Linked DNA regions of Saccharomyces cerevisiae S288C. The gene in region 3 interacts genetically with the main gene of each other region. Each region holds a gene or a part of one and is shown on either strand. Other genes may lie near its edges.

Region 1 (2,475 bases), on a different chromosome or scaffold from region 3:
AAAGAAAAGGACTAGATATAAAAAGTGAAATGAATATAAGATAGCGTTAAGAGATGTCCGCAGTACTTGACACATAATTTAGCGTTTTCTCGGGAAGCTCTGTGATTTTATGATTCAATAACACAGCGTAATTGATTTCGTGATAGTTCGATCCTATATGTAATCTCACGTAACACTCAGGCGAGTTACAAAATCGATTCAACATTGCCGGCTTATGCGTTTACGTCAAGTCTGAGCATGCCTACCCCCTTCCGAACCCGCCTTTTATTGTCTAGCCTTCAGATGAACTAAACCAATCATCTGTCCATAATTCCTCTGCTTTAGACAGTGTTATTAAGCAAAAGAAAATAAGCGCATAAGATTCTTGCTACTTCAGTAACTCCACAACATTAACACCCCACAATCAATATCTAAAAGCCAATGAAGTGAAGATGAGAGGTGGAATGACGGTCTTATCCTTTGAGAAGTTTGACTACTAAAATCTGTGTCTCCTATACCATTAGTTATTGAGCTATAACTATATACCAGAGAAGTGTAGTAATTCTTCAGCAACGGGCCTATAATCTGGATACGTATGATTACTTATCGCTGTAATAGTTGTAAATTCCTCGAAGAAAAACACATGACCAGAATGATAGACATATTGAAACAGTGAATAAAAGGGAGAAAAAGGCTTAAAGGATTTCTGTATTAGTAACACTAAGCCCTCTATCAATTTCATCCAAACAGAAAGACTGCAGGTACATCCATAGGATAGAAGTTCTGTATGTAATCCGCCACTTTTTGTCTCCTTCATGTACCATATAATGAATAGAAAAACGTAGACCTAGGCGGCAACCGTTGCCTACCATACGAAGCGCTGATGCTGTTCTCCGATTATTAGTATTACAAAAAAAATTATACAATACTTATTAAGATGTTAACTTATCAATTTCCGGTATAGTTTCCGCTATGGTCAGCTTTGTCCAGTGGAAGTTCCGCTGTTTCAGAACTAGAGCTTCGTAGCACCTCGAATGCTCATTTATTCTTGTCAACATTTTTGCTGGCAGTGTATAAGACTGTAGACACCTACAATATACGACTCCGGTATTCGATAAGTCTTTCACTTTCTATTTTAAGAAAAACAGAATCTACAATTTTCCCGTAGCAACCGTTTAGCGCACAAAGATTAGATGGCCTCTGAACGAGGGTTCAAAGCAAATTTGGTTTTAGCTTTTTCTTGGCCAAAAGCTGCAGCTGCATCTCTGAAGGCACCCTAAAGGGATTCTTCGGAAGTATGTACACTGTGAGAAAACATTCTTGTGCCTTGGAAATGCAATAAAAAGGTATAGGCACTATGAAGCGTGCGCCTCGTATACGGGACCTATGAAAGACGCATCGTTCAAGTACAGAAGCACCGTAATAATATGAATAATGAATGTGGGATGAACATTGTACACTGAGGCATTTTAGGTGAGAGATGGGTGCCAGATGATAACTCGTTTGTGCCAGGGAAGTTGGCAAGACATTCATATAAATAGAGCTGCTGTAGCTATCCATCTTTGAGGTATGCGCTTTCATTTCACTATTTCTTGTTAAGCTTACATCAGCACTAAAAAACAAAACAAATACAATGGTCAAACTAACTTCAATCGCTGCTGGTGTTGCCGCCATCGCTGCTACTGCTTCCGCAACCACCACTCTAGCTCAATCTGACGAAAGAGTCAACTTGGTTGAATTGGGTGTCTACGTCTCTGATATCAGAGCTCACTTGGCCCAATACTACTCTTTCCAAGCCGCTCATCCAACTGAAACCTACCCAGTTGAAATCGCTGAAGCCGTTTTCAACTACGGTGACTTCACCACCATGTTGACTGGTATTGCCCCAGACCAAGTGACCAGAATGATCACCGGTGTTCCATGGTACTCCAGCAGATTAAAGCCAGCCATCTCCAGTGCTCTATCCAAGGACGGTATCTACACTATCGCAAACTAGAGACAAACGCCTTTACGAACGAAATTCCATAAACCTTAAGAAATAACGAAAATAAAAAAAGCTTTTTTTTTTTGATAGTATAAATAGTTCATTATATGTAAGTGTATATTAATATTGTTACTACTGGTCAATCGTGATATTTATGAACAACTTGGCGGAGCAAGGACAAGAATCCTCTCTTCCTTTTGTGGTATTCTTCGATGTGTGTCCACTTCAACGACATGGGTCATCAATATCTATGTTGAAAAAATCATATTTTAGGATCACTTGCTAGTAAACCGGTTGATGCTATTGTTAATATATAACGACAAATGTTCAAGCAATTATATAACCATTTTCTTCCATATTCACCTTAAACGAGGTCGCCTTTATTTTTTTTTTTTTTTTCAGGGCATCGATCGGCCCGGAGTCGTCGCCTTCAAATGTGTCAAATTTTTAAGATTAAAGTTATCGATCTTGAAGTTTTTCGTGGCAGGAGGGTTTCTATTTAGTGTTCGGTA
Region 2 (3,563 bases), on a different chromosome or scaffold from region 3:
GTGGTAATAGAAATCACGGTAGATGAAGTTAAAATACCGGCGTATAAACCTAATGATGAGACTGCGATACCTTTTACAATAGCTGGGGAGACTTGCATTTGTTTTTTAGTATATGTAAGGATTCTTATGAGTGTTTGTCTTAAACTTGCTTTTCGTGAGGTAAGGGTTAAAAAATCAGCTTGGATATAATTTGGAACAATAGAAACTTCTTTTCTCTCATTTATATACTGATCAACTCACAATTATATAACCTGGTTCTTTTTTTTTTTATTTTTCAACAACACAATAGATTCGAGTATGGGTAAACGAAGAGAATTACTTCGGCATTAAGCAAGGGAAATATCGCGCAACCGCGCACGTAATTATTTTTACTAAACGAACAGCAAATGCAGCAGAGCTAATGCGATGCATAAGATACTTGGATTCTAAGATCTGTTAACTTGAAAATGCTCTATATATCTGTCAAAGACACTATATTGTTGTATACTAGTATATATCTTTTAGTCAATTTCGATTACTTCCGGGCTTTTGGGAGCCTTGGACTTGGACGAATCATGGTCACTTTTCGTTTTTCTCTTATTGCTCTTCCTTAGTGAGATCCCTTGGCCTTGGAAATTTTGTTCACTGGATTTGCTACCAGCGGCACTTTCTTCGTCTTCTTTCGGTAGGACCATTGGGAAACCAAAGAATAATTGGCCTTCAGGCAGATCTAGCTTGGCGGGCTCGCCATCAAACGTTATCTTCATATCTTTTATATCTTGCTTGGGCTCCGCTTTCGGAGCTTTACCAGATATGTTTTGTCCCTGACCTACAAATTTAGATAGTTTGTTTCTGCTACTGTTAGCGATACCCGCATAGTCGATTCTTGTGGACATCGATCCCTGGCCAAGCACCGAGGGATCCAAAACTTGGCCCTTACCAAAAGAATTCTTTTTTTCTTTATCTTGCTGAGCTTTCAGCGCTTTGTAATCCGGTTCCACATATCCTACAGGTGGAGCAAAATCTGTTACTAAATCTGTTTCAATGACACATATACTCTTCGATGATGATTCTGGTTTGACTTCTAAGATCTTAATTTTGAAAGTTTTACCATTGTAACTAATCTCAATAACATCGTCCACGGTCAAAGTCGAGAAATTCCTCAGTACGTTTTCCAAAACTGCTTTGGGGTCGGAAATATCCAAGAAATCTACAGACTGAGGTTCTAACTTCACAAACTGGCCCAGAGGTACATCAGTAGATGAAATTTGCAGTAGAGATCCTGGCTGTATACCCAAAGTTTCCATCATCCATTGTGGTAAGTAAACTCTGCCCTCTTCAGCAATAAATTCTAAAACACCTCCATGTGTCACACGTCCAGTTTCATTGGCAGTTAGTTTAAAAAGCATGGGGTATCTTATGTTCAACATGGATAGTTTGCTTAGAGCACTTGGTGGCAGGAATATTTTCCCGCCGAAGTTTGCGTCATCCTTCCGTATTCTATCATTCATCATAGCTATAGGGTAGCATCTAAAGAACTCCTCAAACGTTTGAGGCATATTTACAAAACCATTTCCGCCGCCAAAAGAACTAAAGCCAGAAAACATTTTTATTATATTTTACAGTATCACTTTGATATTTTTTCCTCCCTTGCTATGGTATGTGTTACTATCTATTGAAAACTACATCATTATCTCTTCCCTATTCACATAGACCAGCCAGGATTACTTTTAACTACCTTTATTTTTCGCCACCTAACCCAAAAAAGGAATTCTTCTCTTTCGTAGAACGCAAGTTTGACTTTTTCGTCGTAAAGGCGAGTTTCCCAAAGTGGACACTTTTTTTTTTTAAGGCGCTTCGGCTAGAAATAGAAGAACGATAATAATGGCAGCGCACTGTGTATAATAACACCAGTCAACAATGAATCTGAAGCTAGAGAAAGAAACCCTCAAGTGTATCTGTGATGGCAGCAGGAAAATTGAAAAAGGAACAGCAAAATCAATCAGCTGAACGAGAAAGCGCTGATACGGGTAAAGTTAACGATGAGGATGAAGAGCATCTATACGGAAATATTGATGACTATAAGCATTTGATTCAAGATGAGGAATATGATGACGAGGATGTACCTCATGATCTACAATTAAGCGAAGATGAATATAATTCCGAACGAGACAGTTCTTTGTTGGCAGAATTCTCGGACTACGGTGAAATATCTGAAGACGATGAGGAAGATTTCATGAACGCGATTAGGGAAGCAAGTAACTTTAAGGTAAAAAAGAAGAAGAAAAATGACAAAGGTAAATCTTACGGCCGCCAAAGAAAAGAAAGAGTGCTTGATCCAGAGGTAGCGCAATTACTTTCTCAAGCCAATGAAGCTTTTGTCAGGAATGATTTACAAGTGGCCGAAAGATTATTTAATGAGGTAATTAAAAAAGATGCACGTAATTTTGCTGCTTACGAGACCCTAGGAGATATATATCAATTGCAAGGAAGGCTTAATGATTGTTGTAACTCTTGGTTCCTGGCAGCTCACCTAAATGCTTCCGATTGGGAATTCTGGAAGATAGTCGCTATACTGTCCGCCGATTTAGATCATGTTAGGCAGGCCATCTACTGCTTTTCCAGGGTAATAAGTTTGAATCCTATGGAATGGGAATCAATTTATCGCCGGTCTATGTTGTACAAGAAGACAGGACAGTTAGCAAGAGCTTTAGATGGATTTCAAAGGCTTTACATGTACAATCCTTATGATGCAAACATATTGAGGGAGTTGGCCATTCTTTATGTTGATTATGATCGGATTGAAGATTCAATTGAGCTCTATATGAAAGTGTTTAATGCTAATGTTGAGAGAAGGGAAGCGATATTAGCTGCTTTAGAAAATGCCTTAGATTCTTCAGACGAAGAAAGCGCCGCAGAAGGGGAGGATGCAGACGAAAAGGAACCCCTTGAACAAGATGAAGATAGGCAGATGTTTCCTGACATCAACTGGAAAAAAATTGATGCAAAATATAAATGCATACCATTTGACTGGTCTTCTTTGAACATTCTCGCGGAACTTTTCTTAAAACTCGCAGTTAGTGAGGTCGATGGTATAAAGACAATTAAAAAATGTGCACGGTGGATTCAACGCCGCGAAAGCCAGACATTTTGGGATCATGTTCCAGATGATTCAGAATTTGACAATAGAAGGTTTAAAAACAGTACCTTTGATTCACTACTTGCCGCAGAAAAGGAAAAATCGTATAACATTCCAATCGATATTAGAGTTAGATTGGGATTGTTAAGATTGAACACAGATAACCTTGTTGAAGCTCTGAATCATTTTCAATGCCTGTATGATGAGACTTTCAGTGACGTTGCGGATTTATATTTTGAGGCTGCAACTGCTTTAACAAGGGCTGAAAAGTATAAAGAGGCTATCGATTTCTTTACGCCGTTGTTATCCCTTGAGGAATGGCGTACCACTGACGTCTTCAAACCACTAGCAAGATGCTACAAGGAAATCGAAAGTTATGAAACGGCTAAAGAGTTTTATGAACTAGCTATAAAATCTGAACCAGATGATTTAGATATTCGTGTAT
Region 3 (8,285 bases):
GCGGCGAGCAAAGCAGCATTGATAGCCTTTCATCAGTCGTACAGTTTTGAATTGCAAAACGAAGGCGTAAGAAATATCAGAACACTATTAGTGACCCCAGGGCAACTGAATACGGAAATGTTTGCAGGATTCAAGCCTCCTCGCCAGTTCTTTGCCCCTGTAATAGACATTACTACTCTAGCTGCCAAGATAGTCCGTTATTGTGAGCTGGGTCAGAGGGGACAGCTAAATGAACCCTTTTATTGTAGTTTTGCTCATCTTTTGATGTGCGTACCTTATTCGCTACAACGCATTGTAAGAAGCTTCTCTCGCATAGATTGCTGCCTCCCGGACGAGTAGAAAGCTATACATAGTAAATAGAATATTTATAGATGAATCCGAGTAGACAGCCTTGGTGTTTGCTTATACATTCTTTGCAATTATGCACGCCCTCATTACCGTTGCTCATATTTTTGGGCATTAATTGTATTTTGAAAAGTGCTCGTTCAGGCCCGTGTAAAAAAAGGTGATGAAGCAAACATTATAATAAACACTTCTGAGAAGCCACGTGTAGAGGGGTAAGCTATATCGTAAACACCGTTGGATGTGGACCACGGTGCACTGATAAAATAAAGATATAGTAGTAGAATCTGTTACTAATCTTAACACTTTTGATGGTAGAACCGGACATGCAGAAGAAGGCAAGTGGTGGCAGTGGCGGTTCCGAGATGGATACTTTAAATGCTACCAGCAACAGTAGTAAACAAGGAGTTTCAAATAATAAAAGGAATCCGGTCAGTAAAAAGAAACCAGGGAATAAGGTCTCTGATGGAAGAGATAATGCACATAATTATCACGGGGAAGGCCGCAGAAAAAGTAGCAAACAACAGAGGTCAAGAACGCCCTATAAGGAGACTAGTACTAGGATCAATGATCAAGATATAGATTTATCTATCCAGGAAGAAATTCTTGGTGGTAATTTCAAATTACGAGGCAGGAAAACTCAAGTTTCCATTAATCATTTGTTGAATTTCCAGTTACCTGAAGTCGAAAGGGAAAAAAGTAGGTCCTCTTCAAGTAAGAAATCGAATAGGAGACGCGATGAGCACGTACATTTACACGGTGACACATTTGTTAATGTTAATTACCGTCTTTTGGTAGATGATCGTTTTGACTACCCAGAGCAAAACTGTAACCCGAACGTTCCTGTCGATCAAGAAAAGATTCTAAGAGTCATAGTGCCAAAGGGTCAGAATTGTTCTATTTGTCTGAGCGAGGAACCGGTGGCTCCCAGAATGGTTACTTGTGGCCATATTTTCTGTCTAAGTTGTCTCTTGAACTTTTTCTCCATTGAAGAAACCGTCAAAAATAAAGAGACTGGGTACTCAAAGAAGAAGAAATATAAAGAATGCCCGCTTTGTGGAAGTATTATTGGCCCTAAAAGGGTCAAGCCTGTTCTGTATGAGGACGACTTTGATGTAACCAGGTTAAATCAAAAACCCGAACCTGGTGCCACAGTACATCTACAACTGATGTGTAAACCACACGGTTCACTATTACCTTTGCCAGTAGCCTTACATTTAGACCCTCTAAAATGTGGAAATTTCCCTCCCGCAAACTTAGGATCAATAAAGCATTATGCGCATATTATGAAGTGTGGCGTGTCTTACTCCTTGGAGCTCTATCAAAAGGACATTGTTGCTATTCAGGAACAATATGAAATCGACAAGGCCATTTATAATGATAGTGGAAAATTTGTTAAGCAGTCGATTGAAAATATCAATGATCAAATTTCGACGTTGCTGGCTGCAACCACTGATTTGAGCCCACTTTCCAACGATATTAACAACGGTTTGGACAATTTTCATTTTGATGACGATCTCTTGACCAAATACGATGATTCTTCCGCTTATTTTTTCTACCAGACGTTGGTGGCATCGTCCACGAAATACTTCTTATCTCCACTGGATGTAAAAATCTTATTGACTATTTTCCACTATTATTCCAAGTTTCCAGAAAGCATCGAGACGACAGTCGAAAATATACATTATGATACAGTGGTAACGGAGCAATTAATCCGCCGCTACAAGTACATCGGCCACCTTCCAATCGGCACTGAGATTGCCCTTTTAGACTTGGACTGGCGTAAAATACCATTCCTTCCCAAGGAAATTTACGAACAGTTTGCTCATGAGCTAAAACAACGTCGAAGAAAATTCACAATGAAAAAGCAAAAGGAAGATAAGGAAAAGAAACTATATGAAAAAAGGTTGGAACAAGAACATGCCGAGTTCTACAGAAAGGAAAATGGCAATTCTCTCAAGTTTGAAGACTCTGTACAGATGGCTACCCATTATGAATCCATTGTAAGCTCTTCCATACCTCTCAACTCCTTAGGAATTTCTATGCTGGGTCCACCGACAAATTCCTGCTCTACTCCTCAAAAGCAAGCGCCCTCCCACACGAAAAGAACAATTTGGGGGACATCAATTGCAGTGACGGAAGACGAAAAAGCATCAAAGGAGAACAAAGAATTTCAAGATATGTTATTGCAGCGAATAAGGCAGGAAGATAGTTCGGATGTCACAGATTCGACGGATTCTCCTCCTACAAGTAATGGTAAGCGAGGCAGGAAGAAGAAAGGTAAAGTCATGCTATTCAGCAGCAATCATCAAGCCTTGGGTTAGGTTACAGCATGTTCTGCTTAAAAATCTCTTTCCAAGCCAGAAATGTGGGAGGACCTATTCTATATCATTTCAAAATCGAACTCTATATCTTTATGTATAACTTCAAACGCTATTGCATATAAACAATTACTCATATATAGTCCAAATGCATTCATACCATGTTATACTATTCAATTCTAGTGTCGTTGTGCGTGATTTTTCACTTTTGACCGTAAATAGAATTTCGGTGATATTATTTTAACTCTCGAAGAAAATAAAGTAGATTCATGTACACGTATATCAAAAGAGTACAGTGAAAAAGGGATAAAGGATACACTCCACTTAGAAGGGCGCAAGATGAGTGGAAAATTTGTTCGTGCTTCTAAATATAGACACGTCTTTGGCCAAGCGGCCAAAAAGGAACTGCAATATGAAAAACTCAAAGTGACCAACAACGCATGGGACTCCAACTTGCTAAAAACGAATGGTAAATTTATTGCGGTGAATTGGAATGCCTCTGGAGGTGGTGCATTCGCTGTCATTCCGATCGAGGAAGTGGGCAAGGCTCCAGATCAAGTGCCTTTGTTCAGAGGCCACACTGCGCAGGTCTTGGATACCGATTTTGATCCGTTTAATGACCACAGGATTGCTTCCGGTTCCGATGATTCTAAGATTGGTATTTGGGACATACCGGAAAACTACAAATTTCACGATCATGTAGATGAAGATGGAGAGCCAATTGATATCAAACCAGTAAAGTTTTTGACAGGACACGCAAGGAAAGTTGGACATGTTCTTTATCATCCCGTCGCTGAGAATGTATTAGCATCCTCTTCAGGTGACTATACTGTTAAATTATGGAATGTGGAAACTGGAAAGGACATGATTACTTTGAAACATCCAGATATGGTCACATCCATGTCATTTTCGTATGATGGTAATTATCTTGCCACAGTGGCTCGAGATAAGAAACTACGAGTCTGGAATATCAGAGAAGAAAAAATTGTTAGCGAAGGGCCTGCCCATACGGGTGCAAAAAACCAAAGGGTGGTATGGTTAGGAAACTCTGACAGATTGGCTACTACTGGTTTTTCAAAATTGAGTGATCGTCAAATCGGTATTTGGGATGCCTTCAACATTGAAAAGGGAGATTTGGGAGGCTTCTACACTGTCGACCAATCATCAGGTATTTTGATGCCCTTTTATGACGAAGGGAATAAGATTCTTTACTTGGTGGGGAAAGGTGATGGTAATATTCGATACTACGAATTTCAAAACGACGAGCTGTTTGAGTTGTCTGAATTCCAATCCACAGAAGCACAGAGAGGCTTTGCTGTAGCGCCTAAGCGAATGGTGAACGTCAAAGAAAACGAAGTCTTAAAAGGTTTCAAGACTGTCGTTGATCAGCGTATCGAACCGGTATCTTTCTTTGTTCCAAGGAGATCAGAGGAGTTCCAAGAAGATATCTACCCGGATGCACCTTCCAATAAGCCAGCTTTAACTGCTGAAGAGTGGTTTTCTGGCAAGTCTGTTGAAGGTCCAATTCTCGTTAGTATGAGATCTATCTATGACGGTTCCGCACCAAGCTTTCATGAGGCTAAAAGACCTCAACAGCCAACAACTCAAGAAACAGCTCTTGAAGAGAAAAAGGAGCAGCCTAAAGTGGAGAAGCCAATCAGCGAATCCGAAAAGGAGGTGAAACAAGAAGCTCCAAAATCTCCCTCACCGCTAAAGTCGGCCTCCTCATCTTCTACAATCAACCATGTATTAAAGGAAGATAATTCGATCAACAAGTTGTTGAAGAAATCCTCCGATATTGATCAAGTTAACAACGCCGAAGATCCGTCTAGGGATACCTCCGGATGGGAAGAAGCCGATGATGAGCCAGCTCCTATCAAAATCGAAACCCCAGTCACTCCAACAGAAACTAAAAAGGATCGCACACCTAAGGTCGAACCTTCAAAAGAATTGAAGCCAGAGCCAGTGTCTATCGCAACAGATAGAAAACAGGAGCAAAGCTTACCTCAAGAAGAGAAGTCCTCTGAGAAAACAAAGTCCCCTGAGCAGGAAAAATCCGCAACACCTCCTTCTTCAATTACGGCTGCTAAGACAGCCATTACTGCCAGCAGTAAGGAAGAGCCATCCGCGGCAAGGACATCACCTAAGTCATTGGGTTTAAAAAAGTCTGTCGAAAAACTATCTACATTGGTTCTGCAATTAGAAGATGTAGTTGATAAATTAACGAAAGCAAATCTTGACAAAGATGAGCGCCTGTTAAAGTTGGAACAAAAAATTGGCGAACTGTCAAAATGAAAATTTTTTGTACTTTTAATGATAAAATTAAGTGAGTCCTTTTTATAGGAAAGATGTATTTTGATTATATGTAATGTACATAAGACGGCGGCGATAATAATGCACTTAGAAAGTGAATCATGTTCACCTGTCCACTAACAAAAAAGGAAACAAAATGTTGCTTTCCCACAGGAAAAAGAATGTTTTTGACAAAACACTAAGCGTTATGTGACCAATGTATAATTGTCCTCATCATATAGTTTTATGCAAGCATAAATAAGTCTTTCTTTTAGTTAAAACGCGTTACATAGTAAAGGTAACCCTGAATGAATTTTTATTTATATTTTTCTTCGCATATTTTAGGATCTTGAAAAATTAACCACAAGTTAGAAGTTGATGAGATCAGGAATTCTAACAAAAGGTCATTGGTTAGGTTTATTTTGTAGGTGCACGTTTGCAACTTTATTCCTTTTGTTTCAAAGTTATAGAGCTTTCATTTTCTCATTCTTCTCTAGTGTAGGTCATTTCTCCTGCATATTAACCTACTAGAAAAGTTTACGAAGCTTCATAGGAACGAATAATCGATCACTTTAAAGGCTTCCCGCACTTTAATCTTATCATCTACACCTACAAAAAAGCTCTACTTTGTCATTTATTTTCTACTTCATCTCTGTATGGCATCTATCTCTATATATATAAAAAAGCGCATCTGTTTATTATAAATGAATTCCAACAATCCTGATAATAATAATAGCAACAACATTAATAATAATAATAAGGATAAGGATATTGCCCCCAATAGCGATGTTCAGCTAGCTACCGTCTATACCAAGGCAAAGTCTTACATTCCTCAGATTGAACAAGTTTATCAAGGCACAAATCCAAATATTCAAGAGGCAAAATTATTAGGGGAGTTATTACAAGTTCTAGCAGAAGTTCCCAAGGGTACGCATTTATTTTGCGACCCCATACTTGAACCAATATCAATTTTTTCCCTAACCATTTTCTCATTCAATGAAGAAGCTACGGCCACATGGCTGAAGAATCATTTTAATCCAATTCTCTCTGTTTGTGATAAATGCATTCTAAATTTTGCGAGAGGGAAGTGCAAAATGTTACAACATTTTGCCATTCAAAGACATGTGCCGCATGAACATGTAGCCAAGTTTAATGACATCGTATGCCAATGGAGGGTGGAGGCTGTTTTTCCTATTCTTAGAAATATTTCCGTTAACGATAATACGGGAATTAACATTACAAATGAAATTGAAACTGCAATGTACGAGTGTCTCTGTAATCCGCATATGTTGAGGCTTAACAAGCAACTTAAGGCTACTTTCGAAGCAATCTTCAAATTTTTCTACGACACAAAGCATCGTTTGTTGGACGTTACGAATCCATTAAGCATAAAAACCTTTATATCAGGTGTCATATTTTGCTGGTGTGAAGGTTCAAAAGAGGAAAATGAGTGGTCACGAGCTTTTCTAAAGGATTTATACTCAAGAAATTTCCATATAAATCTTTCTAACCTGACACCGGATATTATTGAGGAAGTTTATATCCATATTTTATTCTTACAGAATCCGGCAAACTGGACAGAGATTGTGGTATCTCAATTCTGGTCGAGATTACTACCGGTTTTCAATTTATTTGATAAAGACGTCTTCATAGAGTACTTTCAGGTCCCAAAAAATGTGGAATCTTTAAAAAAAACATTCAAATTTCCGTTAGAGCCAATTTTTAAAATGTGGTACAATCACTTAAGCAAATCATATCATGATAAGCCACTAGACTTTTTGTTAAGAGGATTAACAATGTTCTTGAATAAATTTGGCTCCGAGTTTTGGTCCAAAATTGAACCCTTCACATTCCATAGCATTTTGGATATAATTTTCAATAGAGATTCATTCCCAATCAAACTAATCAAAATTCAAGACAATCCAATTGTTGAGCATCAAACAGAAGTTTACTTTCAACTTACCGGTTCTGTAACCGATTTACTTTCTTGGACCTTACCATTTTATCATGCACTGTCACCATCCAAAAGAATTCAAATGGTTAGAAAGGTCTCAATGGCGTTCCTGCGTATAATAGCCAATTATCCATCCCTAAAATCCATTCCCAAAGCTTGTTTAATGAATTCAGCAACTGCCTTGTTGAGGGCTGTGTTGACTATTAAGGAAAATGAAAGGGCAATGCTTTATAAGAATGATGAATTTGAAACAGTACTGTTGACTAAAACAGATTCTAGAGCTTTGCTCAACAATCCTTTGATCCAAGACATAATAATTAGATCAGCTTCGAATCCTAACGACTTTTATCCTGGGCTAGGTGCTGCTTCTGCATCGGTGGCCACATCCACGATGATGGTATTGGCAGAATGTATCGATTTTGATATACTGTTATTATGTCATCGAACGTTTAAGCTTTATTCAGGTAAACCAATTAGCGAAATTCCAATTTCAACCAACGTCTTGGAAAATGTTACAAATAAAATTGACCTGAGATCTTTTCATGACGGTCCATTGCTGGCCAAACAGCTGCTAGTATCTTTAAAAAATATTAATGGTCTTTTGATAGTACCGTCAAATACTGCCGTAGCTGAGGCACACAACGCATTGAATCAGAAGTTTTTGCTGCTATCAACGAGATTAATGGAAAAATTTGCGGATATTTTGCCCGGTCAACTGTCTAAAATCCTTGCGGATGAAGATGCATCGCAGGGTTTTTGGTCCTGCATATTCTCCTCTGATAAACACTTGTATCAAGCAGCTACTAATATTTTATACAATACATTTGACGTTGAGGGTAGACTGGAAGGTATCTTAGCGATTCTGAATAGTAATTTGACCGTTAACTTGAAGAATATAAACGTGATGCTACAAAGATTAATCAATTGTGAATTCTATGAGCCTTGCCCCCGTGCTGTTCGTGTTTTGATGGACGTAGTGAGTGCATTTGTAGACCCGATTTCTGGTGTGTTTGCTAATTTCCAAACTTTGAAGAGCCAAAATACCGAAAAGGAATTTTTAAAATTCTGGGAATCATGTTGGTTATTCTTGGATACGATTTATAAGTTTACTTTGAAATGGGCTTCTAAATATGACTATTCTGAACTGGAAAATTTCACCAAAGATACTTTAGATCTAAGTCGCTCTTTGGTGGACTCCTTTAGAGAATTTTCAGATATTCTTCATGACCAAACGAAAAATTTACTTCTCAACGTTTTAGAAACCTTTAAGAATATGTTGTATTGGCTGAGATTGAGCGACGAAGTACTTTTGGAATCTTGTGTTAGATTAATTATAAGCACGTCTGATTTAGCACATGAAAAGCATGTGAAAGTGG

The links. Genes that interact genetically often act in the same process or in processes that back each other up.
Region 1: mutations in CRN1 (region 3) and PAU12 together harm fitness more than expected from each alone (negative genetic interaction), as found in Saccharomyces cerevisiae (2 studies listed by BioGRID).
Region 2: mutations in CRN1 (region 3) and UFD1 together harm fitness more than expected from each alone (negative genetic interaction), as found in Saccharomyces cerevisiae (2 studies listed by BioGRID).

What each region holds. Positions count from the first base shown.
Region 1 is NC_001139.9:1,078,694-1,081,168, forward strand, and holds PAU12 (seripauperin PAU12), read left to right. Parts: upstream 1-1,612; coding exon 1,613-1,975; downstream 1,976-2,475.
Region 2 is NC_001139.9:587,849-591,411, reverse strand, and holds UFD1 (polyubiquitin-binding protein UFD1), read right to left. Parts: upstream 1,587-3,563; coding exon 501-1,586; downstream 1-500. Other genes in the region: SCM4 (Scm4p), read right to left, coding at 1-98; transcription factor TFIIIC subunit TFC4, read left to right, coding at 1,943-3,563. UniProt on the Saccharomyces cerevisiae protein: Functions at a post-ubiquitation step in the ubiquitin fusion degradation (UFD) pathway. Has a role in the endoplasmic reticulum-associated degradation (ERAD) pathway.
Region 3 is NC_001144.5:987,775-996,059, forward strand, and holds CRN1 (coronin), read left to right. Parts: upstream 1-3,002; coding exon 3,003-4,958; downstream 4,959-8,285. Other genes in the region: TDA5 (Tda5p), read left to right, coding at 1-339; RING-type E3 ubiquitin transferase MAG2, read left to right, coding at 654-2,666; DNA/RNA helicase SEN1, read left to right, coding at 5,660-8,285.